Linked DNA regions of Macaca mulatta. The protein of the gene in region 4 interacts with the protein of the main gene of each other region in a pairwise test. Links are inferred from orthologs where the notes say so. Each region holds a gene or a part of one and is shown on either strand. Other genes may lie near its edges.

Evidence for each region.
Region 1: the proteins of RINT1 (region 4) and FAM81B interact in binary tests that used the Homo sapiens proteins (3 or more experiments, as listed by UniProt). The two-hybrid records come from large-scale screens. The link is inferred for Macaca mulatta from reciprocal best matches to the Homo sapiens genes RINT1 and FAM81B.
Region 2: the proteins of RINT1 (region 4) and CCDC121 interact in binary tests that used the Homo sapiens proteins (3 or more experiments, as listed by UniProt). The two-hybrid records come from large-scale screens. The link is inferred for Macaca mulatta from reciprocal best matches to the Homo sapiens genes RINT1 and CCDC121.
Region 3: the proteins of RINT1 (region 4) and C19H19orf25 interact in binary tests that used the Homo sapiens proteins (3 or more experiments, as listed by UniProt). The link is inferred for Macaca mulatta from reciprocal best matches to the Homo sapiens genes RINT1 and C19orf25.
Region 5: the proteins of RINT1 (region 4) and SH2D4A interact in binary tests that used the Homo sapiens proteins (3 or more experiments, as listed by UniProt). The two-hybrid records come from large-scale screens. The link is inferred for Macaca mulatta from reciprocal best matches to the Homo sapiens genes RINT1 and SH2D4A.
Region 6: the proteins of RINT1 (region 4) and SFR1 interact in binary tests that used the Homo sapiens proteins (3 or more experiments, as listed by UniProt). The two-hybrid records come from large-scale screens. The link is inferred for Macaca mulatta from reciprocal best matches to the Homo sapiens genes RINT1 and SFR1.
Region 7: the proteins of RINT1 (region 4) and RIBC1 interact in binary tests that used the Homo sapiens proteins (3 or more experiments, as listed by UniProt). The two-hybrid records come from large-scale screens. The link is inferred for Macaca mulatta from reciprocal best matches to the Homo sapiens genes RINT1 and RIBC1.

What each region holds. Positions count from the first base shown.
Region 1 is NC_133411.1:101,822,365-101,824,737, forward strand, and holds the end of FAM81B (protein FAM81B), read left to right. Parts: intron 1-1,596; coding exon 1,597-1,730; 3' UTR 1,731-1,866; downstream 1,867-2,373.
Region 2 is NC_133418.1:97,366,220-97,370,433, reverse strand, and holds the start of CCDC121 (coiled-coil domain-containing protein 121), read right to left. Parts: upstream 2,835-4,214; 5' UTR 2,577-2,834; coding exon 2,209-2,576; coding exon of another isoform or gene 2,199-2,208; exon of another isoform or gene 2,067-2,198; intron 2,021-2,066; coding exon of another isoform or gene 2,001-2,020; exon of another isoform or gene 1,986-2,000; intron 1,743-1,985; coding exon 788-1,742; 3' UTR 1-787. Other genes in the region: GPN1 (GPN-loop GTPase 1), read left to right, coding at 2,872-2,982, 3,685-3,778.
Region 3 is NC_133424.1:2,255,838-2,260,239, forward strand, and holds the start of C19H19orf25 (UPF0449 protein C19orf25 homolog), read right to left. Parts: upstream 2,858-4,402; 5' UTR 2,844-2,857; intron 1-2,843. Other genes in the region: RNA-binding protein MEX3D, read right to left, coding at 3,830-4,402.
Region 4 is NC_133408.1:145,161,448-145,165,155, forward strand, and holds part of RINT1 (RAD50-interacting protein 1), read left to right. Parts: intron 1-2,915; coding exon 2,916-3,130; intron 3,131-3,708. UniProt on the Homo sapiens protein: Involved in regulation of membrane traffic between the Golgi and the endoplasmic reticulum (ER); the function is proposed to depend on its association in the NRZ complex which is believed to play a role in SNARE assembly at the ER.
Region 5 is NC_133413.1:20,976,053-20,979,760, forward strand, and holds part of SH2D4A (SH2 domain-containing protein 4A), read left to right. Parts: intron 1-916; coding exon 917-1,088; intron 1,089-3,708. UniProt on the Homo sapiens protein: Inhibits estrogen-induced cell proliferation by competing with PLCG for binding to ESR1, blocking the effect of estrogen on PLCG and repressing estrogen-induced proliferation. May play a role in T-cell development and function.
Region 6 is NC_133414.1:116,280,744-116,285,044, reverse strand, and holds the start of SFR1 (swi5-dependent recombination DNA repair protein 1 homolog), read right to left. Parts: upstream 2,947-4,301; 5' UTR 2,887-2,946; coding exon 2,874-2,886; exon of another isoform or gene 2,789-2,873; intron 2,123-2,788; coding exon 2,001-2,122; intron 1,394-2,000; coding exon 983-1,393; intron 1-982. UniProt on the Homo sapiens protein: Component of the SWI5-SFR1 complex, a complex required for double-strand break repair via homologous recombination. Acts as a transcriptional modulator for ESR1.
Region 7 is NC_133426.1:53,268,970-53,273,435, forward strand, and holds the start of RIBC1 (RIB43A-like with coiled-coils protein 1), read left to right. Parts: upstream 1-1,595; 5' UTR 1,596-1,627; intron 1,628-1,826; coding exon of another isoform or gene 1,827-1,935; 5' UTR 1,936-1,992; exon of another isoform or gene 1,993-2,036; intron 2,037-2,200; exon of another isoform or gene 2,201-2,209; 5' UTR 2,210-2,339; exon of another isoform or gene 2,340-2,473; intron 2,474-2,648; 5' UTR 2,649-2,737; intron 2,738-2,895; 5' UTR 2,896-2,986; intron 2,987-4,466. Other genes in the region: SMC1A (structural maintenance of chromosomes protein 1A), read right to left, coding at 1,827-1,935.

The DNA.
Region 1 (2,373 bases), on a different chromosome or scaffold from region 4:
TCGCCCGGCTATTTTTTTGTATTTTTTAGTAGAGACGGGGTTTCACCGTGTTAGCCGGGATCGTCTCTCGATCTCCTGACCTCGTGATCCGCCCGTCTCGGCCTCCCAAAGTGCTGGGATTACAGGCTTGAGCCACCGCGCCCGGCCAGATTTTTTTTTTTTAACTAAGATCATAGAATCACGGAATTGTCAGACTTGGAAAATCCTTGGAGATACCCAAGACGTGACTTGTGGGTATGTTATGAAATTAAGAGCCTAAATCAAATGCCCTTCTCATTCAACTACAAGTAATGAGCTTGGACAGATGTCAGACTGGAGACCTGACCTTTAGAAGTGAGAAAGAGGGATGAATTAGTAGAGTCCAGTATAATGACTGCTTTTCTTTTAAAGAAGCTAATGGCAGCAGTGTCAAGCTGAGCTAACATCAAAGAGGATTAATTTGAAAGGCTCTTCTAATTTGTCAAAGGGAAGGACATGGGATAGGTGCTGTGGAGCAGCCATCTGCCTTGAGTCATAATTCTGAGAGAATTACCAGGGCTCAGAAGAATTTCTTTACTAGAGAAAGTCCCAAGTAATTTTTTTTCTTTTTTATTCTAGATCTCAGAAAAATTCATGTGTAAATTCTACCAAATTTGGTCCTGTAGAGAGATACGTTGGAGGTGCCTTGGGAGGACATGATGTTCTCAATCTGCCAGATGTTCCTGGCATATAAGTAGAATTTGCTGCCTGGAAGTTCAACCCTCACAATATACCCCTCCCACCGTCATATCAAAATAATGAATTATCTGGCCAGGAATCATGTCCCAAACTTAACTGGCCCTTCTTTTAAAGGCCCTGCTTTCTGTTTAACTATCAGAGGTTTAATTGTACTTATTCCATTAGTAAAACTTCATTCCATTAGTGAACTGAAAAGGAATTTACCATCTGCAAGTTCTTTCATTTTACTAACAAGGAGGAGTTCTAGAAAGTGGGAACTTCAAATTAACGGTTTGCTGCTTTATGCCTTTAATAAAAATGTGTTGAGAAACGACTATGTGAAAGGCCCCAGTGAATAACAAATGGGTTGTGCCCTAAGACCTTGAGGTTTGATAGGTCTGTGGTCATGAGTGACTAGATGTAAGAGATATACAAAGTGCCAGGAGGGAGGAGGGCAGCAGGGGGCTGCTCTGAGGTCCCTCAAATGGGCTACTTGCAGAGAAGTTTTAAAATCTCCTCTGGGATCTTTACCTTCAATTTGGTAACAAGACTGAAAAAAAAATCACACAAATCTCTTGTCAAAGCATACGGAAAGAATAAAATATTTTAAATTTCTCTCTTGCAATATAGAATTATGCAATGTATTTGCGGAGAGGAGGAGAAAAATAATTAATTTCACAATGAAACCAGATAACCAGATATAAGTTGAAACACTATTGTGAATGAATCTTCATGACATACAAGAAACAGATTATGTACAATTTTTGGCTGGTCTTAATAGAATTTAATGCCCTTTGAATTAAATGATAATCAATTATGGTAGGACTGCCAATTAGCAACTTTTTAAAAAAAAGTTCTAATGCATTGTTTAAGTGTACCTATTCTTTTACCCTCTTACAGGATTTAAATCAATTCATGACTCTCTCAGCTCTCTCCAGCAAATACAGAAAACAAAGATGGATTTAGAGAAATGTAAAGTACAGAAAGACCTGAAGAAATTACAGCGTAAGATAGTGGAACTCCAGGAAGTATAAACCTTTTCAGTCATCTTCTTTTTCACCAGCCAATGGAGTGATTTGTTGGGAAAAGTTCTGAAGAAGAAAGTTACTATCTCTGGGATGTTTACTGCTTCTAATGTCTCCTTTTAAGGAGATGAATGTACCAGAAAAATAATAAAGCACAGAAGCTTTGGATGTCTTGCATTTATTAATGAAAAAACTAAGAAATTTCCTTATATATCTGCCTCTCTCTCTCTCGATAGATAGATAGATAGATATGTATATGTGTGTATATATGTGTGTGTGTATATATATATAAATCTACAAATAACGAAAAAGGAATCTACATAAGGTATATGAGTGAAGTAGGCCAGTTGTAATACATTAAAGAATGACAGGAGCTCTGTCAAGTTGGAGAGCACGTACTCTGTCTAAAAATAATAGCTACTATGTAGTGACAGTTCATGACTAACATATATATATATATATATATATATATATAAATCCATTATTATCCAAAATTCCATTTTTCAAGAGAAATCCCTCTATTTTTAAGCTTTAGCAACTAGTTCAAAATAGTTCTCAAACTATGTGAGATGCCTGTGGAGCAGATATGACCTAGTGGTCAGTTTGCAACTTCTAATCTCAATGTTTGTGGCAAGTTTAACTTATGCATATT
Region 2 (4,214 bases), on a different chromosome or scaffold from region 4:
TAAAAGTCCAAATATTTCAACTTTTTTTGGATACATTTTCCTGAAATAAGGGGAGGCATTCAGTCACCTCCATGCTACATGTGTTTCTTCAAAGAAAACATTTTCAAATGTAAGAGCTGACCTAATAGATGTCTCCTTCGTCTTCTCTTACCTTCTCAATTTACTTAAAGCTAAACTTGTAGGGGCTTCACATCAGATGAAAGGTCACTCTGCCTAGCACTTACTGGACTTGCTGTTATCAGAATGCTTTTTCGCTCATGAGAAAACTAGGAGCTACCTGGTCACTGGCACAAACTTACAAAAATCTTATAAAAACTGCTTTTGTCTGCTAAGTCGGTCAAAAGGAATGAGGATAAACTGATACTGGTTATTTACTGAGCAGAACGCTATTCAGTCTATTTGGAATGCTATCCTTAAAGGTACTTTTTCTCTATAAAGAAATCTAGTTAGATGAAATAAATCACAACTGTTTTCACTTCCTCGGGTTGGTTTCCTTTAGCTAGTTTGATGTATGGTAAATGGCTAGGTTAGGGTCATGTGTTAGGTTAACTAGAGGTTTGTGGAATATCTTATTAACAAGAGTATTTCAAGAAAAAACTAGTTAAGGGAAGCTGGTTACCAAATATCTAGTAGGACTGTTGGATAAAACCATCTAATCCTCCACTCTAACACTCATGATGGAGATGTTACAATAACAATCTGGAATCCAAAAGCCTTCCTAACCAGGTTAATATAGCACTTAAGAGTACTTGCTCCAGTTATCTAATCAGTGTTATTTTAGGAGGAGTTACTTTGGATTAATCCTTGATTTGGTGCCTTGGGGAAGACTGGGTGTGGTCTTTGGAACATCCTGTCTATTTAGGCACTGATTATGACTTCCTTGCAATCTCTGCCTCCCCCGGATTAAGGACTCCAGATACCACTGTTCCTGCTGCAGCTGCTGCTTCCTGTTTTCTAAGTGGCTTTGAGTAGCCGTTAGTTTCTGGGCTTGCTCAATTAGCTGCAGTAATTCCTTCTTGAACTGCTGGTTCTCTCTTTTGAGGCCACAGGAGTATTCAAAAATAGACCGCTCTGCTGCCAACTTCAAGGCCTGGGCTTTCTTATTAAGCTCTCTTCTTTTTCTCTTTCCCAGTAGCCTCCTGTCTGGCTCGCTCAGTTGTTTCTCCAGTAATCTTTTCTCCTGGAGGAGCTGGGCCTGTACTTCACGTGTCTTTGCAGCTGTCTCAGCTTGGACTTTCTTTTTCTCCTCCTGTAATGTCTGTATTTCTTTCTCCTGCTTTTCCTTTAATATAGCAATGTCCCTCATTGCCTGCAACTTCCGCTTCAAACTGGATTGGATATTTTCCTTTTGCAAGAGCGCTGTTTTAAGCACTGAAATTTGTTCTGCATATCTGGAGGCTGATTCTTGTCTTCTTCGTTCAATCTCTCCACTTTGTTGTAAATAGCTGTTCCATACCTTCTCAGGTTGCTTTGTGTACTCTTCAGTTTTGTTAGTCAGGTATTCCAGAAAGAACCTGTTTTCAGCCTGGACAAGTAACTTTTCTTGGTATAGCTCCCTGTATTCCTCCAGTAGCTGTTCCCGCTGGATTTGAGCTTGTTTTATATGCTTGTTCAGAACCGTCATTTCCGCCACTATCTTTTCTTTAAGGATTGTCTCCACCTTTGTTAGCTTCTCTGGCTTGACAAAATTATTTATTAGCCTATGATACGGTGGAAGGAGCCTTCTGGGGCCCTCAGCAAACCTGAAAGAACAAATGAGACATTCCTCTCTCAGTTGATGAAACTTTAGGAAGTGCACAACTGTCCTTTATTTATACCAGAGAATATTTCTGAGTACCCAGAATGTTCCAGACATTATGCAAGGTGAGGGGAATCCAGCTAGTGGTAAAAGATGACGGATTTAGCTCATCATTTACAACGTGCGTTCACCACAACCCTGGGAGGTACTATCTCAGTTTTAAAAAGAGAAAACAGGTTCAGAGAGTTTAAGTGAATTGCCCATGACTCACACCACTAGCAAGTGGCAGAGCCTGGGTATGAAAGCCAGATCTTATGACTTACTGAACACTGTTAGCAGCTACAAAGGGCCACAGAAACAGACTGGGTGGTTGCGAGTAGAAATACTTTTCTAAGCTCTTTCATCATCTTTCCTGAGTTTCTGAGAGCCCTTCAGTGAGAAGGAAGCTCCCCTCCAGTACCTATTCGCACCTGGAATCCAAGCATTCATCCTGAAGGTCACGGCAACTGCGTAGTTCACCGAGGGTGATTACCAAGGAATGAGCGCTAGCATCAGGAACCTGCGCCTGCAACTCGCGGGAACAACGTGCAAGTGCGGAAAACTCCCGTAGTTTATCCGTTCGGTGCTCAAAGGGTCTCGGTGCTGCCCAGCAACCCTGGAGGCTGCACCCTGCTCCAGTCCTGGCTGGTCCAGCCCTGAACTGTTTAACCGCCTCGGCTACCGAATAAACCCGAGCAGCCGGTCCTCCAGTGGCTCCGCTCCCCGCTCTCTGCGGGCTCGAAATGAGAGGCATGCGCCTCGTTTTCTTGCTGTGTGAGTCCTGCCCTCGGGACCCCATCTCTTCTCGCCTTCCCCCTGGGGCCAAAAGCCCTCCCAGGCTGCAGAGATCAGAGCCCTTTCCTAGCTCCCTTCAGCCTTCCTCTCGCTTGCTCAGCGCCCCCACTTCCTCGCCACTGTCACTAGTTGGCTCACCAGCCCTGCCCGATACTAAGAAGATGCCCTGGCAACTACCGCGCCCCTTCACGCTCCTTTCTGACGCTTTGGTTCTGTTTTCGTTCGCTGCCCAGAACATCGCGGAAGTTTCTCTAGCCATGCGGTGTCTCTATGGTCAGGTGGGCGGGGCCAGGAGGAAGATGGCGGCTCCCGCAGCTGCAGCTGAGCCCCAGGCTTCTGGGGGTCCGCGGCACCCAGTGTGTCTGTTGGTGTTGGGAATGGCGGGATCCGGGAAAACCACCTTTGTACAGGTGACGTACACAGCGTGGGTGTAGTAGGGGAGCGCAAAAGGTTGCCTCCGACAGGCGGAAGGCCAGGGAGAAAGGGAGGGAGGTCTCCGAGGATTTGGAGGGTATCGGCGCATGGGTTTCGGTCGTTTCCCATCAACTTTAGTTCCTTCCCCGGCAAAGCCTCCTCGGGCCCTAGCCAGGTTAATTAAGGCTGTCTTCTGTGCACCTTCAGTGCATACTCGGTCAGCTTACCACGTTGTACAGGAATTGTCTTGCTGATAAAATTGCCAGTTTCTCGAAGGCAGGGGCTTACAAGTAACTTTAGAGATTAATACAGTGCTAGCACACAGGTTTTGGTGAAGATTTGCCGAAGAATTATTTCTTGCACGCCTGTCATGTACCATTCACTGGGGATATAGCGAAAATTAGGTTGACAAGATTCATTCATGGGGCTAAATATTTAATGGAGGAGATAGAGAAAACCCACATACGAAGAATCAAAACAAGTAAACAAGTGACTATGAGTAGGGGAAGTTTTGTTAGATGGGTGATGAAGAAAGGTAGCATTTGAACTGAGAGTTGTATCTTGGTGGTGGATATAGTGGGTGGATATTTCAGGTAAAAGAAAATCTAAGTGCAAAACTCTTAAGGCATGGGTGGTAAAGGAAGTTCTCTCTTGTCCCCTCTTTGTCTCCTTCCAACCTTCTCCCCATATCTCTGCAGAGGCTCACAGGACACCTGCATGCCCAAGGCACTCCACCTTATGTGATCAACCTGGATCCAGCAGTACATGAAGTTCCCTTTCCTGCCAATATTGGTGAGTAAACCGGTAACATAACTTGTGTGAAGTGCTTTAAAGAGAATGGAAAAGGCCGGGCGCAGTGGCTCACCCCTGTAATCCCAGCACTTTGGGAGGTCGAGGCAGGTAGATGAAGAGGTCAGGAGTTCAAGACCAGCCTGGGCAAGATGGTGAAACCCCATCTCTACTAAAAATACAAAAAATTAGCCAGGCGCGGTGGCAGATGCCTGTAATTCCCGCTACTCGGGAGGCTGAGGCAGGAGAATTGCTTGAATCCGGGTGGCAGAGGTTGTAGTGAGCTAAGATAGCACCACTGCACTCCAGCCTAGGCAATAGAGTCAGACTCTCCAGCCTGCCAGTCTTCAGTGCCTTCTTTTTTGATGTTTTCTAAACTATCTACTTTCATTTCCTTTGGATTTGCTTGAGTTCCTAAACAGCTTAGGCTTTTTTTGTT
Region 3 (4,402 bases), on a different chromosome or scaffold from region 4:
TGCCTGTCTCCCAAACAGGGCTGCCTCCCCCCACCCACAGCCCTCCAGCTTTGGAAGCTGAAATTTTCTTTGCTGACCCACCAGAGAAACTAGGGTTTGAATCCCAGCCCGTGATTTTTTTGTTTTGGAGACAGGGTCTCGCTCTGTTGCCTAGACTGGAGTGCGGTGGCGAGATCATAGCTCACTGCAGCCTCGGCCTCCCAGGCTCAAGTAATCCTTCCGCCTCAGTCTCCCGAGTAGCTGGAGTCGCAGGAGTGTGCCACCATGCCTAATTTTTGTATTTTTTTTTGTAGAGACAGGGTTTTGCCGTGTTGGCCGGGCTGTTCTCAATTCCTACGCTAGAGGGATCCTCCTGCCTCAGCCTCTCAAAGTGCTGCTGTCCCCTCAGTTTTTACCTACCCTTTACCTCCTGCAGCCTCTGCCTCCCCATCTATGACCTGGGAGCTGCAGGACCTTCCCTGGGGAACATTATGGGCCTCAGTGAGATGGGGCAGGTCAAGTCTGGCACAGGCTCAGCACACAGTAGGCACTCAATAAAGATCTAGCCAATAGCTGGGTGCAGAGGCTCACGCCTGTAATCCCAGCACTTCGGGAGGCCAAGGCAGGCGGATCACCTGAGGTCAGGAGTTTGAGGCCAGCCTGACCAACACGGCGAAATCCCTTCTCTACCGAAAATACAAAAATCAGCTGGGGGACAGGCGCGGTGGCTCACGCCTGTAATCCCAGCACTTTGGGAGGCCGAGACGGGCGGATCACCTGAGGTCAGGAGTTCAAGACCAGCCTGGCCAACATGGCGAAACCTCATCTCTACTGAAAATACAAAAACCAGCTGGGCGTGGTGGCACGTGCCTGAAATCCCAGCTACTAGTGGGGCTGAGGCAGGAGGATGGCTTCAACCTGGAAGGTGGAGGTTGCAGTGAACTGGGATCACACCACTGCACTCCAGCCTGGGCAACAGAGCGAGGCTCTGTCTCAAAAAAAAAAAAAAGTCTAGCAAACAAATGAATTGGAGCCTCCAGCAGATGGGTGGGAGCTCAGAAGGTGTGAATGACCACAGTCTGCCCAGAAAGCACTCAGATCCCTGTAGGATCGAGAGAACTGAGCCTCAGAGAACAGCACATGGCTACCGGGCAGAGGGCTGGTGCCAGGCCTGTGTGACTCTGGTCTAGGTGGGGAGGCCGGACAGGTGCACCCCTCCTGTCCTCCAGGGAAGGGGTAGCCTTGGAGGTTGGGTTTGACAGAAAAGCATGAGAAGCTCAGAGAGCCCCAGGGTAGAGAAGAAGGTGAGCGAAGGGGCAGGGCTGGGACACAAAGGACACTGAAAGGTGTGCTTGACAACGGGGTGGGTGGGAAAAGCTGGGAGCCACAGATGGTTCTACAGTGTGGAAGATGTAAGGCCTGTTTCAACCTGTCATGGCAGTCACAGTAACATCCCTGGCAACCTGCACTCCACTTACAGGGTGGCTGCTGTGTGTGACCTGGAGCTGGAATTAAAACCAGCAACTTGGGTCCAGGCATGGTAGCTCACACCTGTAGCAGCCCCAGCACTCTGGGTAACTGAGGTGGGAGGGTCGGTTGAGGTCAGGAGTTCAAGACCAGCCTGGCCAAGAGAACGAGACTCTGTCTCTACAAAAAAAATTTTTAAATAAAAACTAATAAATAAATAAGCCGGGGCGTGGTGGCTCAGGCCTGTAATCCCAGCACTTTGGGGGGCAGAGGCTGGCGGATCACTTGAGGTCAGGAGTTCGAGATCCCGTCTCTACTAAAAATACAAAAATCAGCTGGGCGTGGTGGCAGTCACCTGTAATCCCAGCTACTCAGGAGGCTGAGGCAGGAGAATAGGTTGAAACCAGAAGGCGGAGTTTGCAGTGAGCCCAGATCGCGTCACTGCACTCCAGCCTGGGAGAAAGAGCAAAACTCCGTCTCATAAATAAATATATAAAACCAGCATCTTGCCCCAGAATCCTCTATCCCAATGGAGGTGAGACGTCTGCACATCACAGAGAGGGGGCTGTCACCTGCACAGGGTCACGGGCCACTGTGGCCTGCCGGGCAAGCAATCAGGGCCCACTCTCCCGCCACCCCCACTGTGCCCCAGGGCCTGCCTTGCTGACCGCCACCAGCAAGAGCCCAGTAAGTGGGTGCAGAACGCACAGGCCAGAAGTGGGTGGCTAAGCCTGGTGCCCATGGACTCCATCTCCCGTGGACCTGCCCCTAGAGAATTCCCACCCTAGGGCCACAGGTCTAGAAGCTCTCAGCCTGACCCTGACTCCTGTTAGCTCCCCATGTGGTCACAGCCTCGCTCAAAGGCCCTTCGGGTGCCAGGACACGCGAGTTCACATAGAACACAGCCACACCCTCCACCACCTGGTGGCTCAGCCTGCTGCCTTTGGACACTTGGTCCCCGGGCCTCGGCTTGGACGTCTGTCCCCGACACTCTGCACAGGGCAGCTGTCCTGTTCTAAGCCCTGGTTATGGGACATGGAGGCAGGTGGAAGGCCTCAATGGGGAGGCCGTAACAGGATGGTAGGGCACCCTCCTGCTGGGGAGTCCCACTGAGGGCAGCCAGAGCACCCAGTCCCTCCGCATCGCCATTCCAGAGCATGCCTCCTGGGCCAGCACCACGCCTGGCCCTCCATGGGTCCCCACATGAGCTGGACAAATGACTGACCAAAACACAAGAGGCCATGCTGCCCCACCCACCAGGACGGAGGGAAGGGGCGGAGGGGAGGGCACCCTGGTGGTCCCCCGCCTGCGGCCAGGGCCATAGATGACCTTGCAATCCCAGCCCCCCACACCTTTCTCTGGCCTGGGTTCCTGAGGGCCCTGGGGGAGGCAGGGACCCCCAGCCCAAGTGTCCTGCCGCCCCACCTAGCCCCGCCAAGGCCCCACCCCAAGTTCTAGAACCTGGCTGATCACTGGCGGTCAGCGGGGAGCCAGGAGTGGGTAGGGGTGGCGGGAAGGCAGGAGAAAGTTGAGGGAGGCGGGCGGGCGGGTGGCTAATGGGGTGGTGGGTGTGAGCTGGGCCAGGCACTGCCCACCACCCGCCCGCCCGCCCCGCAGCTCGGGGGCCAATGAGCAGCGGCCGGCCTGATGTCACCCTGCAAATCTCAGCCTAGCTCTCTAACAAAGAGAACAATGGGGCGGCCAGAGGGAAGCTCCGACGATGCCACCGCTGGACCCCACACTCGGGGCCTGCCGCCCGCTGGCCTGCCCAGCAGGCTGCACCCCAGAAGTGGCTTTGACAGCCGGTCCTTCCCAGGCCCCCAAATCCCTGACTCGGGGCCGGAGAGTGGAGCAGGGACCCTCTCCTGCCAGGTCCCGTCCCCACCCCAGTCAGGGCCCCAGGCTGGGGACCCAGACGTGCGCTCTTTGTACTGTCAGCCTTCTCTCCCGGCCCTGCAGGCGGCCCCCCTAAGCCACCCCTAAACCTGCGCTTGCCCCGCCCCGCCGCCTGTGCTGGGTGTGGGGTGCCCCCCGCCCGACCGGAGCCCCGGGCCCTCGCGCTCCTCTCCGGGGTGCCCCTGCGGGTGGCCAAGGGCCTGGGCTGCGGCGCGGCTCCCGGGAGCCTTTCCGGGCTGGAGGCTGCCCAGACAAAGGCGGCGGCGGGGCCGGAGCGAGCAGGGGAGGAGCGCGGGCTGCGCCCAACTTTCTCCCGCGGCCGCTGCAGGACAAAGGCGCAAAGGCAGTGGCCGAGGCCGGAGCCCACGCGGGGCGTGTCCGGTGCGGGGCGTCCGGCGCGGGCTAGGCTGGGCTCGGGAGACCCCCTTCCACGGGGCGGGCGGTGCGGGGACCCCCAGGACAGCAACCCCCGACGAGGGCCACTCACCCTGGCGGCCCACGATCTCGGCGACGTGCTCGGAGCTGGGCACCGGGACGCACTCGGTCATGTTGACGCTCTTCTTGCGGCTGCCGATCACGCTCATCTGCTCGGCCAGCAGCGTCGGGGGGCCCAGGGCCGCGGGGTGGGGCGCGAAGCCCGCGAACACGTCGGGGGGTGACGGCCGGGGCGGCGGGGGGCTCGCGTTGGGGTCCAGCAGCGGCAGCGACCCGGGGGCCACGGCCACGGCGGGGGCCAGGGTCGCGGGCGCGCCGGCCTCGGGCCCGTCGGGGGTCACAGGCTCCGGAGCCGACCCGCCGTCCGCGCCCCCCGCCGCCGCTGCGCCGTCCCCGGCCGCCCCCTCCTCGTCCGTGTCGCCCGCGGCCCCCAGCCCGAGCGCCGACAGCTGGTCCAGCGCCAGGCGGAGCGCGGCGGCCGCGTCGTCGGGTTCGGGCGGCGGCCGAGGAGCGGGCGCGGCCTCCTGGGCGCCCTCGGGCGGGGGCGCAGGTCCGGGTCCGGGGTCCTCCCCCGCCGCCCCTGCGCCGCCGCCGCCGCCGCCCCCGCCCCCGCCGCCGTCGGGCT
Region 4 (3,708 bases):
TTGGGAGAGTTCTAAATGGCTTTTGGTTTTTAAAATTTTGTGTAGTTTTATTTCAAGAACTTTAAAAGAAAAGCAACTGAAAATTCTTAAGAAAACATTTCAAGGGTAGCCAAATGTGTTTTGTTTTTGTTGTTTTTTTTTGAGAAAGGGTCTCACTCTGTCACCCAGGCTGGATTGCAGTGGTGTGATCTTGGCTCACTCCAACTTCTGCCTCCCAGGTTCAAGTGATTCTCCTGCCTCAGCCTCCCCAGTAGCTGGGATTACAGGTGTGCGCCACCATGCCCAACTAATTTTTGTATTTTTAGTAGAGATGGGGTTTCACCATGTTGGTCAGGCTGATCTCAAACCTCAGACCTCAAGTGATCTGCCTCCCCGGCCTCCCAAAGTGTTGGGTTTACAGGCATGAGCCACCGTGCCTGGCCATCAAGGCTAGCCAAATGTTTGATGACCTTAATATGGCTTATTATGCTGTGTTCATGGCCTAATGCTATTCAGAGTTTAAAAAAAAATAACCTTGGCAAGGTGATTTATTTAGTCCTCTGTTAATTGTATTTTGGAAAAATAAAATTTCAGACCTTTATAGTTAATTTTATGCTTAAATGCTTAATGATAGTGTCATTTAAAAATTATTTTTAATTTTATTTAAAACAAGGCCAGGCACAGTGGCTCACACCTGTAATTTCAGCACTTTGGGAAGCCAAAGCGAGCGGATCACCTGAGGTCAGGAGTTCGAGATCAGCGTGGCCTACATGGTGAATCCCCATCTCTACTAAAAATACAAAAATTAGCCAGGTGTGGTGGCACTCGCCTATAGTCCCAGCTACTCGGGAGACTAACGCAGGAGAATCACTTGAACCAGGGAGGTGGAGGTTGCAGTGAGCCGAGATCGCGCCATTGCACTCCAGCCTGAGGGACAGAGCGAGACTCCATCTCAAAAAATAAAAAAACAAGTAGATAGTTTCATTTTTTTTTGTTTTTTGAGACAGGGTTTTGCTCTTGTTGCCCAGGCTAGAGTACAGTGGCACGATCTTGGCTCACTGCAACCTCTGCCTCCTAGGTTCAAGCAATTCTCCTGTCTCAGCCTCCTGAGTAGCTGGGATTATAGGCGCCCGCCACCATGCCCAGGTAATTTTTGTATTTTTAGTAGAGATGGGGTTTCACTATGTTGGCCAGACTGGTCTCGAACTCCTGACCTCAGGTGATCCACCTGTCCGGCCTCCCAGAGTGCTGAGATTACAGGCATGAGCCACCACGCCCGGCTGATAGTGTCATTTTTTTTTGTTAAGTTCGTGATTACCATACACAGAAGTTGAAAGAGAAAAATATTTTTCACTATATGTAATCCATGTGATACGAAATTCAAAAGCCACAAAACTGTATATATTGAAACTATATATAGTGAAAATAAGTCTTAATTCTAATCTTCTCTAAAGCCAATCACTTTGATCAATTTCTTATACGTATTACTAAAGCTGTTTATATAAATACTGGTGTGTGTATGTCAACATGTGGTAACATACTATGCAGACTCTTCTGCTTTTTCTGGTTAATATGTCTTGAGATTGTTCCATTTCAAAACAGTTTAACATTGACTAGTGGGAATGTAACATAGTACAGTTGCTGTGGAAAACAGTATGACAGTTCCTCAAACTGTCTTTTTTTTTTTTTTTTTTGAGACGGAGTCTCGCTCTGTCGCCCAGGCTGGAGTGCACTGGCCGGATCTCAGCTCACTGCAAGCTCCGCCTCCCGGATTTACGCCATTCTCCTGCCTCAGCCTCCCGAGTAGCTGGGACTACAGGCGCCTGCCACCTCGCCCGGCTAAGTTTTTGTATTTTTTTTAGTAGAGACGGGGTTTCACCGTGTCAGCCAGGATGGTCTCGATCTCCTGACCTCGTGATCCGCCCGTCTCGGCCTCCCAAAGTGCTGGGATTACAGGCTTGAGCCACCGCGCCCGGCCCAAACTGTCTTTTTGTTTTCTGAGATGAGATCTTGTTCTTTCGCCCAGGCTACAGTGCAGTGGCCCAATCTCGGCTCACTGCAAGCTCTGCCTCCTGGACTCCAGCAATCTTCCCATCTCAGCCTCTTGAGTAGCGGGGACTACAGGTCTGTGGCTACCACACTCAGCTAATATTTTTTTTCTAGAGATAAGGTCTCACTATAAAATGATTCTCTGGCCTTAGCCTCGTAAAGTGCTGGCACTACAGGCATGAGGTACCATGTGCAGCCTTTCAAACTGTTAACACATAGACTTACCATAAGATCCAGCAATTCCACTCTTCAGTACATACCAAGAGAAATGAAACATATGTCCACATAAAAACTTGTACTGCCGAGCGTGGTGGCTTATGCCTGTAATCCCAGCACTTTGGGAGGCTGAGGTGGGCAGATCATGAGGTCAGGAGTTTGAGACCAGTCTGACCAATATGGTGAAACACCATCTCTACGAAAACTACAAAAAAAAAAAAATTAGCCGGGCATCATGGTACACACCTGTAATCCCAGGTACTCAGGAGGCTGAGGCAGGAGAATTGCTTGAACCCAGGAGGTAGAGGTGGAGGTTGCAGTTAGCCGAGGCATGATCTCAGCTCACTGCAACCTCTGCCCTCCAGGTTCACGCAATTCAGCCTCCTGAGTAGCTAGGATTACAGGCACATGCCACTATGCCCAGCTAATTTTTGTATTTTTAGTAGATGGGGTGTCACAATGTTGGAATGTTGGCCAGGCTGGTTTCGAACTCCTGACCTCAGGTGATCCACCCACCTCGGCCTCCCAAAGTACTGGGATTACAGGCGTGAGCCACCGTGCCCAGCTGAATTATACACTTTAAATGGGTGAATTGTATGATATATGAATTCTCTTTCAAGCTGTTTAAAAAAAAAAAGTATGTTAATGTGTTAACATGTTTTTGCTTTCAGTTCTTTCTACAACTTCAACAGGCTGCACTGGAGGTGTTTGCAGAGAATAATACTCTGAGTAAATTGCAGCTGGGACAGCTAGCCTCTATGGAGAGCTCCGTCTTTGATGACATGATTAACCTCTTAGAGCGTTTAAAGCATGATATGTTGACCCGTCAAGTAGACCATGTTTTTAGAGAAGTTAAAGATGCTGCAAAATTGTATAAAAAAGAAAGGTATGTCCTCTATGTAAGTCAGCTCTTAATACCAGTTTGGTAAAAGTTGAAGATGGTATATGTGGTCAGATTTCCAAGGTATCTAGATAGAACCTGGTTTGGCCTTATGTACTTTAAACTTCATTGTTGGAAATCTTTCTAAAATATGTTCTTGGACATTTTTTTTTTTTTTCAAGACAGTCCTACTCTGTCACCCAGGCTGGAGTGCAGTTGCATGATCTCGGCTCATTGCAGCCTCCACCTTAGAGGTCAAGTGATCTTCCCACCTCAGCCTCCCAAGTAGCTGGGACTACAGGCATGCACCACCACACCCGGCTAATTTTTGTAGTTTTAGTGGAGACCTGGTTTCACATTTTGGCAGGCTGATCTCCAGCTCCTGACCTCAGGCAATCCACTGCCTCGGCCTCCCAATGTGCTAGGATTACAGGTGTGAGCCATCACACCTGGCTCGCTGACATTCTTAATCAGAATAAACTGGTTATAATTTAGCTGTTTGTAAATATATTAATAGGATAGTGTGTGATATGGGGTTGAATAGCCTAACCTGTCTCCCATTTTGCAAAGTAAAGTCACCTGTG
Region 5 (3,708 bases), on a different chromosome or scaffold from region 4:
AAAATCTGAACCAAACCTTGAAAGGAGTGGTTTTCTAGCTACAGAAGGCCAAGAAGGAAAGTGCAGGCAGAGGGCTTAACCAAGGCCCCTAGACTTGACTACGAATGGTTCTTTGGGGAATGATGAGGTCTTCTGAGCATTTGGAATACCCTTGGGCAACTGCTTCAGAGGCCAGATTTGGGAGTTTGGACCTTATTCTGTGGACAGTGAGGGTTTTCAATAGAGAAGTGATATCAACTGCAGATGTAGGAAGGTAACTCGGAGGGAAACTGAGGCAGGTGATGGCACTCCTCTGCTGGGTAGCTGGGGTGCTCTGGGTGTCCTTCTCTGGCTCTGCACAGTGATGTTGACAGCATTACTCTGAGATGCTGAAGTGGAAATTGGGACAGACATGAGGACCACAGTTTAGTTCCCAAGGGCTAGGGATGCAAAGCCGACTCTGTGGCACAATGGATGGTGCATTGGACTTTCAAGGGCTGGGATGCTGCCCACTAGTGCCTGTAACTTTAAAACTATCAATGGACATATGAAGATAAAGGAATTATTTAATGATCGATTGGAAGGAGATGGTATGTTCTAATAGGTTAACTTGTAAACCAGGAGTTGGGCAGACCAGGATGCAGATTTTGGCTATACCACTATGTGGTCTTGGGTGAATTACAAAATTTCTTGGAGCTCTTATAACAAAGTGAGGATGACAATGCCTTCCTCATAGGGTTGTGATGAGGATGAAGTTAACGTCTTTACACTGAGGGAAACTGAGGCAGGTGATGGCACAGGGCCCAGCATGTTAGAAGCACTCAGTAAGTGGTGTCTGTTACTGGTTCTCACGTAATTTGAATGTCAACATCTGCTTTGTAAAAGCTCTTCCTGTTGAAGAATGGTTTTTGAGAATGTTACTTTTGTCTCTCTTCAGAAAAACTCACTCTGAAGAATTCACCAATAGCTTGAAAACAAAATCACAGTACCATGATCTGCAGCCTCCAGATAACCAGCAGCCTAAAGACATCTGCAAGACAGTGACAGAGACGGAGGAATTGGAGCAAGGATCTAGCCCATCCCCAACCCTGGAGGACGAGAAAATCCGAGTGAGTCCTTCCTGTCTGTAGGTGTGCGGAATTTCATCACGGGGGAGAAAAAGCTACTGAGGCCACTGAGACCACTGTGGCCGAGTGTCAGGATCCTCCACTGGCTTTGCTGGGAGAAATTCCTCCTAACTTTAAGGTCCTCTTGCTCATGTCCCTTGGGGGATTTACCTTCCCTGCTACTTCGTGAAAAATAAAGCACCCCTATTTCGTGAGACTGAAAGTACCAGGCGAGAACGCTAGGAATGCAACTTGGCATTTTAAGATATTTTCAGGTTCTCCCCATTGCTGCCCCATTATAGGTCTTCCGTTACAGCAGAGGTTGGCAAACATTTTCTGTAAAGTGCAACATAATAAATGGTTTAGGCTTTATGGGCCATGCCGTCTTTCTCACAGCTATACACAAATGAATGATCATGGCTGTGTTCCAATAAAACTTTATTTTCAAGGACAGGCAGAGGGGCAGATCTGGCCTGTTCACGATATAGATTACTTTCTACCGAGTCTCCACCTTTTTGTTGCCGACTCTAAGTATCAGTGCTCGTTTGGCTTCGTTGGCTCTGCCTGTGACTGTGGGGACAGTTACTTCCCCAACATAATGAAATTTTATACTCAGAATTGGTATGAATTCTCTTATGGTTCAGGTGGTTTAAAAAACTCAAACATAATTTGCTGGTTGGATTATAGTTTGGGAGAACAATACAACTATATTATGAAGTACCTTATTCTGCCAGGAATTTAATTACAACTGAGAATTAACAGGGATTTACAGTTGTTTGATTTCCATTCGTGTCTCCAGCCCTGCAGCACTGGTTGTGTGTGCTTTTGACTTCTTTGAGGCTATCAAATGGGAATACAGATATCTCCTGCTTCCTTCTAGGGCCTAGTGAGACTCTGATAACTAACACGGTCAGGGGGTTATTCCACAGCAAAGCACACTGCTGAGTGTCTCATGTGATCCTTACAATAACATGAACTAGAGACATTTGTCCATTTTACAGCTGGGGAAACTGAGGCTAGGTGTGGTTGAGCAACCTGCCCAAGGTCTTATTCCAACCCAGGTCTGCAGGACCCCCAGGCTATTCCTTAAATATTAACTATTAACTCCTTAACTCTTAACTCTCGTATTTGGTTGTATCTTTAATATGAGGGCTATGAAGAAGCTTTTTATGAAGGGCTACAAATATGAGGCTCAAAATATTTAAGAAGAAAAAATTCTAAATTTGGTTTTTCCTCTCAGGATCAGCCCTGGGCATGCTTCCCACATCCTCAGTGAGGCCTCCATGCCTCCCCAGGCATGCTTTGCACTCAGCATGCGTAACACCAGACTCCCCCAACACGGCTCCCTTTCCCACACCCATAAAACCAAGAACAATAACAACAACAAGAAAGCTCCTTCCAGAGTATTAATTATGGAGCTGAGTGTGGTTGCTCACATTTGTAATCTCAGTGCTTTTGGAGGCTGAGGCAGGAGGATCCCTTTTGAGGCCAGGAGTTTCAGACAAGCCTGGGCACAATCCTGTAGAGATAGTGAGACCCCCATGTCTACAAAAAATAAAATAAAAATAGCCAAGCATGGTGGTTCATGCCTGTAGTCCTAGCAACTCAGGAGGCTGAGGCAGGAGGATCGATTGAGCCCAGGAATTTGAGGCTGCAGTGAGCTCTGATTATACCACTGTACTGTAGCCTGGGCGACCGAGTGATACCCTGACTCTTAAGAAAAAAGAAAGTTTTAAGTGTGTATGCTTATCTCTGTGCTTGAATTACAGTACTTTTTTAGATCTTTTTTTTCAAAAGTAGGACAGAAGATTAAAATGGAAATTAAAATAGATACCACAGTTATTATTCTTTAACCATCTCATAAATATTATATTGAGAGTGGCACTGTTCCATTCCTTAGGTGCCTGCTAAACTGTCATATGGAAGGAGATGGGGGCAGTGGAGAAAGAAACAATTAGATACAAGGAATACAGAAATAGATGGGTGACAGGTTTTTATATTTCTGCTTTTTATCTTTCCCTGTGTCAGAGAAGATGCTGTCAGGGGCTCCTGTGATATTTGCTGAAGTTCACTCTGACAGCGGGCCACGCAGCGAGGAAGCTGATCTTCACAGCTAGTGTGAGCATTTAAAGAGGTGTCTGCTACCTCTTAGACAATTGACTCGATGGTACATTTACATTTTTATTGTAAGTTCTGTATATGTCACTATAGTGGCCTGCATATTTATCCCCCGAAATTCATGTCCACCTAGAACCTCAGAATGTGAGCTTATTTGGAAATAGATCTTTCCAGATGTAATTAAAGTAAAGGATATCAAGATGAGATCGCCCTGGATTTAGGGTGGACCCTAAATCCCACGACAGGTGTCCTTATAAGAGGAGAGCCAAGGGAAATGTGAGAGAGAGTGTACTAGTCTGTTTTCACGCTGCTGATAAAGACGTACCCGAGATTGGGCAGTTGACAAAAGAAAGAGGCTTACTGGACTAGTTGGGGAGGCCTCACAGTCACTGTGGAACGTGAAGGGCACGTCTAACATGGCAGCAGACAAGAGAAGAGAGCTTGTGCAGGGAAATTCCCCTTTATAAAACCATCAGATCTCATGAGACCCACTCACTATCACAAG
Region 6 (4,301 bases), on a different chromosome or scaffold from region 4:
GCTCACACCTGTGATCCCAGTACTTTGGAAGGCCAAGGTGGGAAGACTGCTTGAGCCTAGGAGTTCAAGACTAGACTGTGCAAAATAACAAGACTATCTCTACAAAAAAATAATTTAAAAAAATTAGCCAGGTGTGATGGCACATGCCTGTAGTCCCAGTTACTAGGGAGGCTGAGGTGGGAGGATCACTTGAGCCCAGGAGTTCAAGGCTGCAATAAGTTAGGACTGTACCACTGTACTCCAGGCTGGGTAACAGAGACCATGTCTCTAAAAAGAGAATGAATAAATAAAATACACTTTTTACTCCTAAATTTTAAAATACATTCAATACTCCTAAATTTTATTTTTAAAAAACCCTAAAATTTCACGAGAACAAATGAGATATGCTATCTCATCATTTATTCCACATAGTTGGGGGAAAATGAGCTATTGCATATATATGAATTTTCCAGGTAATAAAGGTTATCTCCTTCCATGTACTCAAGTTCTATTTAATTCAACCTATATGAGTTGAAATCTAAAATCTAATATATATTTGTTTTTTTCTCAAATAATATGGCTGAATCACATTAATTATTTGGGGGAGACACAAGATCATAAATAAAATACCTTTTATTGTACTCTACAGCCCATTTTTAGTTTTACTAATTGACTGTCAGCTTTCACTTCTGTTCCCGTCGTACTTGCATCTAACATTTAATACTTCTAATATTGCTGTGGGCTAGAAACTAGAAAGAAAAGTTTAACTGCATATTAAATAAGAGCTGAGATTCTTAAAAAGTTTTACCTGGTGTTTAAGGGCCTTTTCTACTCTAAATCTGGAGTTGAATTAAAGTTGTTGGAAGCCAGGTTTCTGAATATTTGGCTTATTGCTTATTATGATAAAAAAACAAACACACACCTTATTTTCTATTTTTGAAATTACTTTCCTGCAATTTATGTAAAAATAAAAATGATACAATGGTCCCGAAATTCTTCTCACCTTTGATCTATACATTTTGACTAGTTTTAGCCTCCGAAGAAGGTCTTCTTTCTCCTGAACCTGCTTCACCAATTTGGCTTTTTCATCGTTTAATCTTTGTTTAGGAAGATTCTCATTCATGAACTCATTTTGGAGAGCACTGCATGATCCAGAATGAAGTGACTGAGATTCACAGACACTGAGATTCTTCAAAGTATTTTTCAAATTTGTATTTTCTTCAAATTCACTATCTATGTGTTTAAAACTTTCTTGAAATTCCAAACAGTTTTCCTCTGTGGAAGATGCTGGTTTGTCTGAAAAGGTCTGATCATTTTCTTCACTCTCTACTTTAAGACGTTTCACCACATTGTAACAGGAATTAAATGAAGATCTTGTTTTCCTTAATCTTTCTCTAAGTGTTGCACTCATAGGCTATAAAGAGCATAAAACATTAAAAATGTGAATCAAGAAAAACATTCTTGATGTCAATAAATCACCAGAAATAAAGGCCTTACATTTCTGTGCTAGACACCACTAGATGGCTTTCTGTCTCCACATCTAAAGAAGGCATCACAAAATGTCTTTAATTTCTGGAAGCTCCATTTGTTCTATTTCCTTTTTACTTCAGCAAGATCAACACCTTTCTAAAAGTGTTGAAAGGTTTATCCCAGTAATCAAGGAACATTTGTTCAGTAACAAGCACATGCCTGACGGTACTCCAGGTGCTTCAGAATTACAGAGTAAGGAAAAGACCTAGACCCTGCCACTAAAGACCTTCACAATATTGCACAGATTCTAACTTTCTCCATTAATCTGAAACTAACTGAAATGAATTGATTCAAGAGGAAAATATGGAAAGGGGCTGGTGGGTGTCATATATGTGACCTTAGAAGAAAAACATAAAATTGTTTAATAAAATGTCTACTTATTTATGCTACACATTATGTTAATTAACAACCTTCAGTAGAATTTAAACCACCACTGCCACAATACTTAGAAACACACAATGGATCCACTGGAAGGACAAAGATTTTCATACTTGTTTTCGTGAACTATTTGTATAGGGAGATGATGGATTCGCAGAGGCCTGAGGAGTGCTAGGTAAAACCACAGCTGAGTCTGACGAACTTTCCATCTTGAAAGTGAAATCTTGGTTTTTCTCTAAAAAAGAAAAATTATTAAATGAGAATCAAATTAGCCACACCTCTCCATAGTCGATTTTTATCAAAGAATATATTTTATTGGTGTACAAAGCATCCACAAGTAAGCCAGATATTTCTTCTAATTTCACTTTGTAATTCATTATTGCTCTTTTTGCAGTTTTCCATTTACCTTCCCACAAAGGGACCACTAAGATTTTCATGACACATCAACCAGCTAGTATCTCATAGTCACAACTCTCCTTGTTTTCTTTTCATCCACCAAAATATATTCAAATTCTGCCTTGGAAGAAGGGAATAACAGCTTTAATCAGGAATTCTTTATGATGACAGCTTCATAATTCAAGAAGATATAGCCGAAACTTTGACTCAAAAACAATAGGACCTGAATGTCACCCATCCTGAACTCTACAAGCTGTGACTAGAACCCGTTACCCTGCCGGCCCGAGGCATAAGAAACACAGCGGAGATGCATTTACGCCCTTTTAGTTTAAGCAGCGAATAGGCACTGAAAAGGAGAGTGGACTGAAATTGCTTTCTCCGACAAAGGCATCAACTTTTGAGAGGCAAACCAGGGGCGGGAGTAGTCCCCTCCTTCCCCCCATTGCAGAAAGCCCACTAGATCCCCGAAGACCCCATGGATGAGGTGAGGTTGAGTTCCCCAGACCCGGAAAAGGAGCTCAACTCGACTCCACAGCACACTCCCGGGGAAGCCCAGGTCTCAGGTAACCCCCTTCCCCTCAGCTGAGTACCTCCCTCCGCCATTCCCAGCGAGAGCAAAAAGCGCGCGCAGCTGCGGCCGTAAATCGATCCTGTGGCAGGGGCGGGGCCGTGCGGCTGGCGTAGAAGACGCGCAATTGGCCAGACTGACTAACGCGCGAGACGCCGCTTCACTCAGCGACTCAGAGCGGCGGGACTGCGCGCGCGCCTCCGCCAGCCGGCGGTTGGGGCGGGGCTTGGCCACACGATAGGCGGCCTAAACGCGTGATTGGCAGAATTAACCGGTGCGCGCGGCTCTCCCTGCCCAGCGCCCGAGGGCAGCGGGAGTGCGCGCGCGCGGCTGTGATCCGCAGCAGGTCTTCGGGGCGGGGGAAGCTGAGCTTTGGAACGACCAACCGATCCTGAGGGGGGCGCGCTTCCGTTGGCGGCTTCTCTTGTCTTATTTTCAACCGCCTTCCCTTCAGGCTTCCTTGTTTTTGTGCGTCTGTGAAGTGCGCCTGAAAGTGCCTCCCCCTGCCTCCGCCAGCCCGCCGCCTCCATTCTCTGGCTCCAGTCAGTCTCCTCTCCCCGCTCGTCACAGAAAAGGCTTTCCTCAGATGTGGCGCGGCCAGAAGCCGCACGGCTGGCTGCATGTTAGATTTACAGCTTGTGGACTCCCCAGAGGCAGAGACCACAAGAACAGCGTTGGGTTCCAGCCTGTTGAGAATGAAACATGTTAGAAATCTATCCGAGAGTCCTGGCACTTTAGCTGAGCTCATCGCTAGCTTTTTTGGCTGCCGCAAACTCGGCGGTCCCGTCGCTAGGTTTTTTTTTTTTTTTTTTTTGTAAACAACCGTTTCTGTACCTCAGTATTCAGGCTTCTTAGCGTGACCTCAAATCTTTTACTCAAATCTGAGGGAAAATGTAGCCCAAGGAAGTTTGTTGTGGCGCAACACAGGAAACAGAACAATCATTACATGAGATTGTGTCGGTGCAAAATTCAGATGTTTGAGACCGATAGGGCCTTTGCCGGCCACCGGGCAGCAGCATCCCCAGTCGAGAAAATCCACCCCCCCGACCCCCCGCCACGCTTCCAGTGTGGCGAGGTTCTGTTGCTACGCGACGACAAAGTTAGCTACACTGGGTGGAGCACTGGGTTTAGGGAAAGAGTTGTGTAACTTCTGAGTCGCGTGGAAGTTGGGAATTTCCAGGGGCTAGTGTTTTCAGTCCTCTTATTGAATGGCCGTTTTAAACATTGATATCGTCTCTTTACTATTAATAACATCTGACAGTAATGGCTTAGAAGTGGCCAGAAGGGAGTTACCTGAGCCTTAAGCAGTCAGGTATAATAATTACAGAACCTGAGGACTACTTAAGGGAATGATTAGGGGCACAGACGTTAGAGTCAAATTGTCTAGGTTCAAATCCTGGCACCCTACTTTATGTTGTGCCTCAGTTTCTTCATCTCTTAATATGGGATT
Region 7 (4,466 bases), on a different chromosome or scaffold from region 4:
AGGAGTCAGCCTTTTAGGAAGAACCAATATCCAACCTTTGGGCTTCTCCCATCATTTCCAGGGATGACAACAACATCTCACAACCACAGGCCTCTCTAATCACGATCAATATGGTAAACATTTTTGTAATATATATTATGGACTGAACACCAGTATGTTTCAAGGAATGTCTGCTTTAGGGTACTCACAGGCCAATGAAGATACAAAAACATGCACCATCAATATAAGACTTAATAAACATTAATGTGTACCAAGTGTCTACAGTATGCCACAGAGGAAGAGTAATTCACCAAAGGGACTAAAAGAATGGCTTGTAGAGGTGGGCCTTGAAGAACGAGGGCAAGTGGGGGAGTGCCATGGCCCTTTTCAGAACAGCTGGGAATACAAATCTACTAATGCTGAGGGGACTGAATGCCAAGAGGTACATCCTAGCTCTTTCAACAGGGGCCACTACACTAAAACCCTAGGAAACCGGGTGGACACCACGCATTAGCCCTCCAGGCCAGTGGTTCTCACAACAAGTTGGGTGTTTGGAGGAGTCACACCCACCCCCTGTGACATCTGGCAATGTCTGGAGACAGTTTTGATTGTCATGCCTGGGGAGTAGGGGTGCTACTGTCATCTAGCAGGTAGACGCCAAGGATGATGTTAAACATCCTACAATGAATGCACAGGGCACATCCCACAGCAAAGGATTATCTCGCTGGAAACGTCAATAGTGCCATTGTTGAGACACTCGGTCTCCAGGAAAGGCACTCCGTATGTGCTACTTCAGCAAGGGCAGCCTCTTAGGCTAGGATATGATTCAGTTAGAACATCTCTGGGGTGGAAGAATACAGCAGGATTCCAAATGAACCACATCTGAGGTGAGAGGAATCCACGGTATATCGTTTAGAGTTGGGAAGTTAAGATATAAAATAGAGGCTTTACCTGACCACCCTTTCTAAAGACACCACCCAAGTCACTTTATCACATCCACCGGTCTCATTTCCTGTATAGCACTTATGACAGCCTAAAACCATCTTATTTTCTCCTTATCTTCTTTCCCCTCTGGAATATAAGTTCCCTATGAGCATGGAGTTGGTTTATTCTATCCTCCGCCGTTTCCACAACTTGCAATGGAATAACTCCTGATAAACAATAAGCATTCAACAAATTTGGTAAATCAATTTCGGCTTTTGACGGTTTCGGTGGTAGGAAAGGGGCGAGTTCGAGGCAACTACCTCTGACATAGCGGTTGGGGGTGGGGATCGAGACCTCAAGCACTCTAAAGTCTGGAAGGCTGGGTCTGAAATACAAAACTGCCGCCTCCGGAGAAGAGTAGAAAGGAAAGAGTTGGAGTGTACCAATGCGAGGCGAGAGGAGACGCTGGGCTGAAACAGAAGTGCACCGTTTGGGACCGAAGGCTACGGGAGAGCTACCAGCGTCCCCACATTTTGCGGAGGGGGTCAAATAAGTCTGGGAAGCCGGCTCCGGGCGGCGCGGCGGGGAGCCGCGAGGCGGGGGACTGGCAGCTGGCGGGAAGCTGGCTCCAGACGCGCCTACTTTGGCGGGAGGGGGAAGTAGGCGGGGTAACTGGCAGCTCGGCCCGTACCACTCGGCCGGGGCGGGGGCCGCGCAGGAAGAGGCAAGTGACACCTGGAAGGGGTTCGAGTTAGAGCAGCCGCGTGGGGAGAGTGGGTTCGAGCAGAACCCCCTCTGGAGGGGCAAGGAACCCGTAAGGGTCCGCGACGTTTCAGGTTACATGGGCTGGGTTGTACTACTCCGGAACCGGATAAGGGGTCCAGGCCGGGACGTGCGCAGGGCCGCAGCCAGGTTTATCTCACCAGAGCCATTGGGTCCAATGATGGCGGTGAACCTCTGAAATGGTCCGATAATCTGTCGACCCTTGTACGACTTAAAGTTCTCGATCTCAATCAGTTTCAGGAACCCCATGACGGCCGCGGCGCCGGCGGCGGTAGGACAGGCCGCGCCGTACGCCCGGGAACCGAGGTAGCCCGCGCGGGAAACGCCGCAGTGCAAGCCGGGCGGCCGGCAAATGTCGCGAGAATACCTCCAGGCCTAACGGGATTTTCGGCTTCCGGCAGGAGTGGGACCAGGGGCGGGGATTGATGTTGCGTATACGAGGAGCGAGCTGACGACTGGCGTGGTGCCTCCGCCCCCCTTTCTTGTTGCATGGCAACAACAAACACTTGCTCCTGTGGACCAGGTCCTCGGAGGAGTTGGTGCTGGGCGGAGTCAGAGCAGCTCTTGAGGTTCAAGGAGGCGGGGGAGACCTGAGCTCACGCTTGCTGAGACAGAAGTCACAGCAGGATTATGCCCCTCAGGGCAAGAGGAAGGTGGGAGCTCGGCTGTGGCTTTAGCCTGGCCAGCCTTCACGGCTAGGACAAGGACAGGGGCGGGAATTGGAAGGACCCGGGGGGAGCGGAGGGCTGGACGAGAAGGAGGGGCCAACGGGAGGATTCAGTGTTAGGTGAGCTCAGACTTTGCTAATGGTGGGGTGGGATTGGAGGCGGGACGGGATGCCAAGGCGGATGGGGTGTGAATGGGGCTGGGGCTATTCCCAGGCAACAGGGATACAGGCTGGGGAAGGCTACGGCCTGAGATACTACCCCTATCCGCTACCTCCCTCCTGTTCTACCAAGCAGAGTTCAGAAACTGCCGCCGTAACCCAAGAACAAAGTTGCATGCAGAGCCAACCTAAGAGCTTCAAAATCGGGATTCCTTACTGAGAAAGGTATTTTGTGTGAACCCCCAGGAGTCAGGGTCCCTAAGCCGGTGCTCTCCACCTCCACCTACCTCTCCCTCCATGCCTCTCCCCCATCCCATTCCCACAGCTCTATACCACGATGCCACCTTACCTCTCTTCCCTCTCTGCTCTCTATCATTAATAAGGCAGGGGCCTTAGCAATCCAAGAAGCTTAAAATGTCTGCTGAATCTTCCCCTTCAGTGACCTTATACTGTGGTGGCAGGTGGAAACAGTAGGTAAGTTGGTGCCATTCTCAGACTTAAACACGGAAAGGATCTGGTGGTTGCCATAATTATTCCTTTAACTATTTATTAAATTATGTCCGAAGGCTAGAAAGAGTCCTAAAGACTTAGGACAAGTCCAAGAAAGTGAGGAAGTGGCTGGGTATGGTGGCTGACACCTGTAATCCCATCGTGAGGGAGGCAGGCCAAGGCAGGAGGATCACTTGAGACCAGCAGTTCAAGACCAGCCTGGGCAACATAGTGAGACCCTATCTCTACTAAAAATTTAAAAATTAGCTGGGTGTGGCAGCTCTCACCTGTGGTCTACCCAGAAGGCCGAAGCAGGAGGATCACTTGAGCCTGGAAGGCTGAGGCTGTAGTGAGTGGTGTCTGCACCACTTCACTCCAGCCTAGGTGACAGAGCAATACCCTGTCTCAAAAATAAATAAAGGGAGGAAGCTTGGTAGATGGAATCTAGTAGGGGAGCCATAAATGAAGTTCAGTTGGGAGAAACAATCAGGCTGAGGGGATAAAATGGCTAAAGGAAAGCAATCTCATGTAATCCATGGGGAAATACTGTTCCCTTTTAAAAGATGAGATGGTGAGCCCTGGGTAACATAGCAAAACCCCATCTCTACAAAAAAATTTTAAAAATTAGCCAGGCATGGTGGCACACACCTGTAGTCCAGCTACTCAGGAGGCTGGGGCAGGAAGATCCTTTGAGCCCAGGAGTTCGAGGCTGCAGTGAGCCATGATTGCACCACTACACTCCATCCTGGGCAACAGAGAGAGACCCCATCTAAAACCAAAATAAAATACATTTTATTCTCTGCCTCAACCTCCCAGGTAGCTAAGATTGCAGGCGCCTGCCACCACGCCAGCTAATTTTTTTGTATTTTTAGTATAGACAGGGTTTCACCATGTTGGCCAGGCTGGTCTTGAACTCCTGACCTCATGATCCACCTGCCTTGGCCTCCCAAAGTGCTGAGGCGTGAGCCACCGTGCCCGGCCAAAAATAAAATACATTTTTAAATTAAAAAAAGATGAGATGGCACTTGGGAAAATTAAATTGGATTCTTATCTCACACCATACACAAAATGCTATTCCAAGTGGATTAAAAACCTAAATGAGGCCGGGCACAGTGGCTCATGCCTGTAATACCAGCACTTTGGGAGGTCGAGGCAGGAGAATTTCTTGAGTTCAAGAATAGCTTGGGCAATATAGTGAGACCCCATCTATATTAAAAAAAATTAAATGGGACCTGGCACGGTGGCTCACGCCTGTAATCCCAGCACTTTGGGAGGCCGAGGCGGGCAGATCACGATGTCAGGAGACCGAGATTATCCTGGCTAACATGGTGAAACCCCGTCTCTACTAAAAATACAAAAAATTAGCCGGGCGTAGTGGCGGGCGCCTGTAGTCCCAGCTACTCGGGAGGCTGAGGCAGGAGAATGGTGTGAACCTGGGAGGTGGAGCTTGCAGTGAGCGGAGATC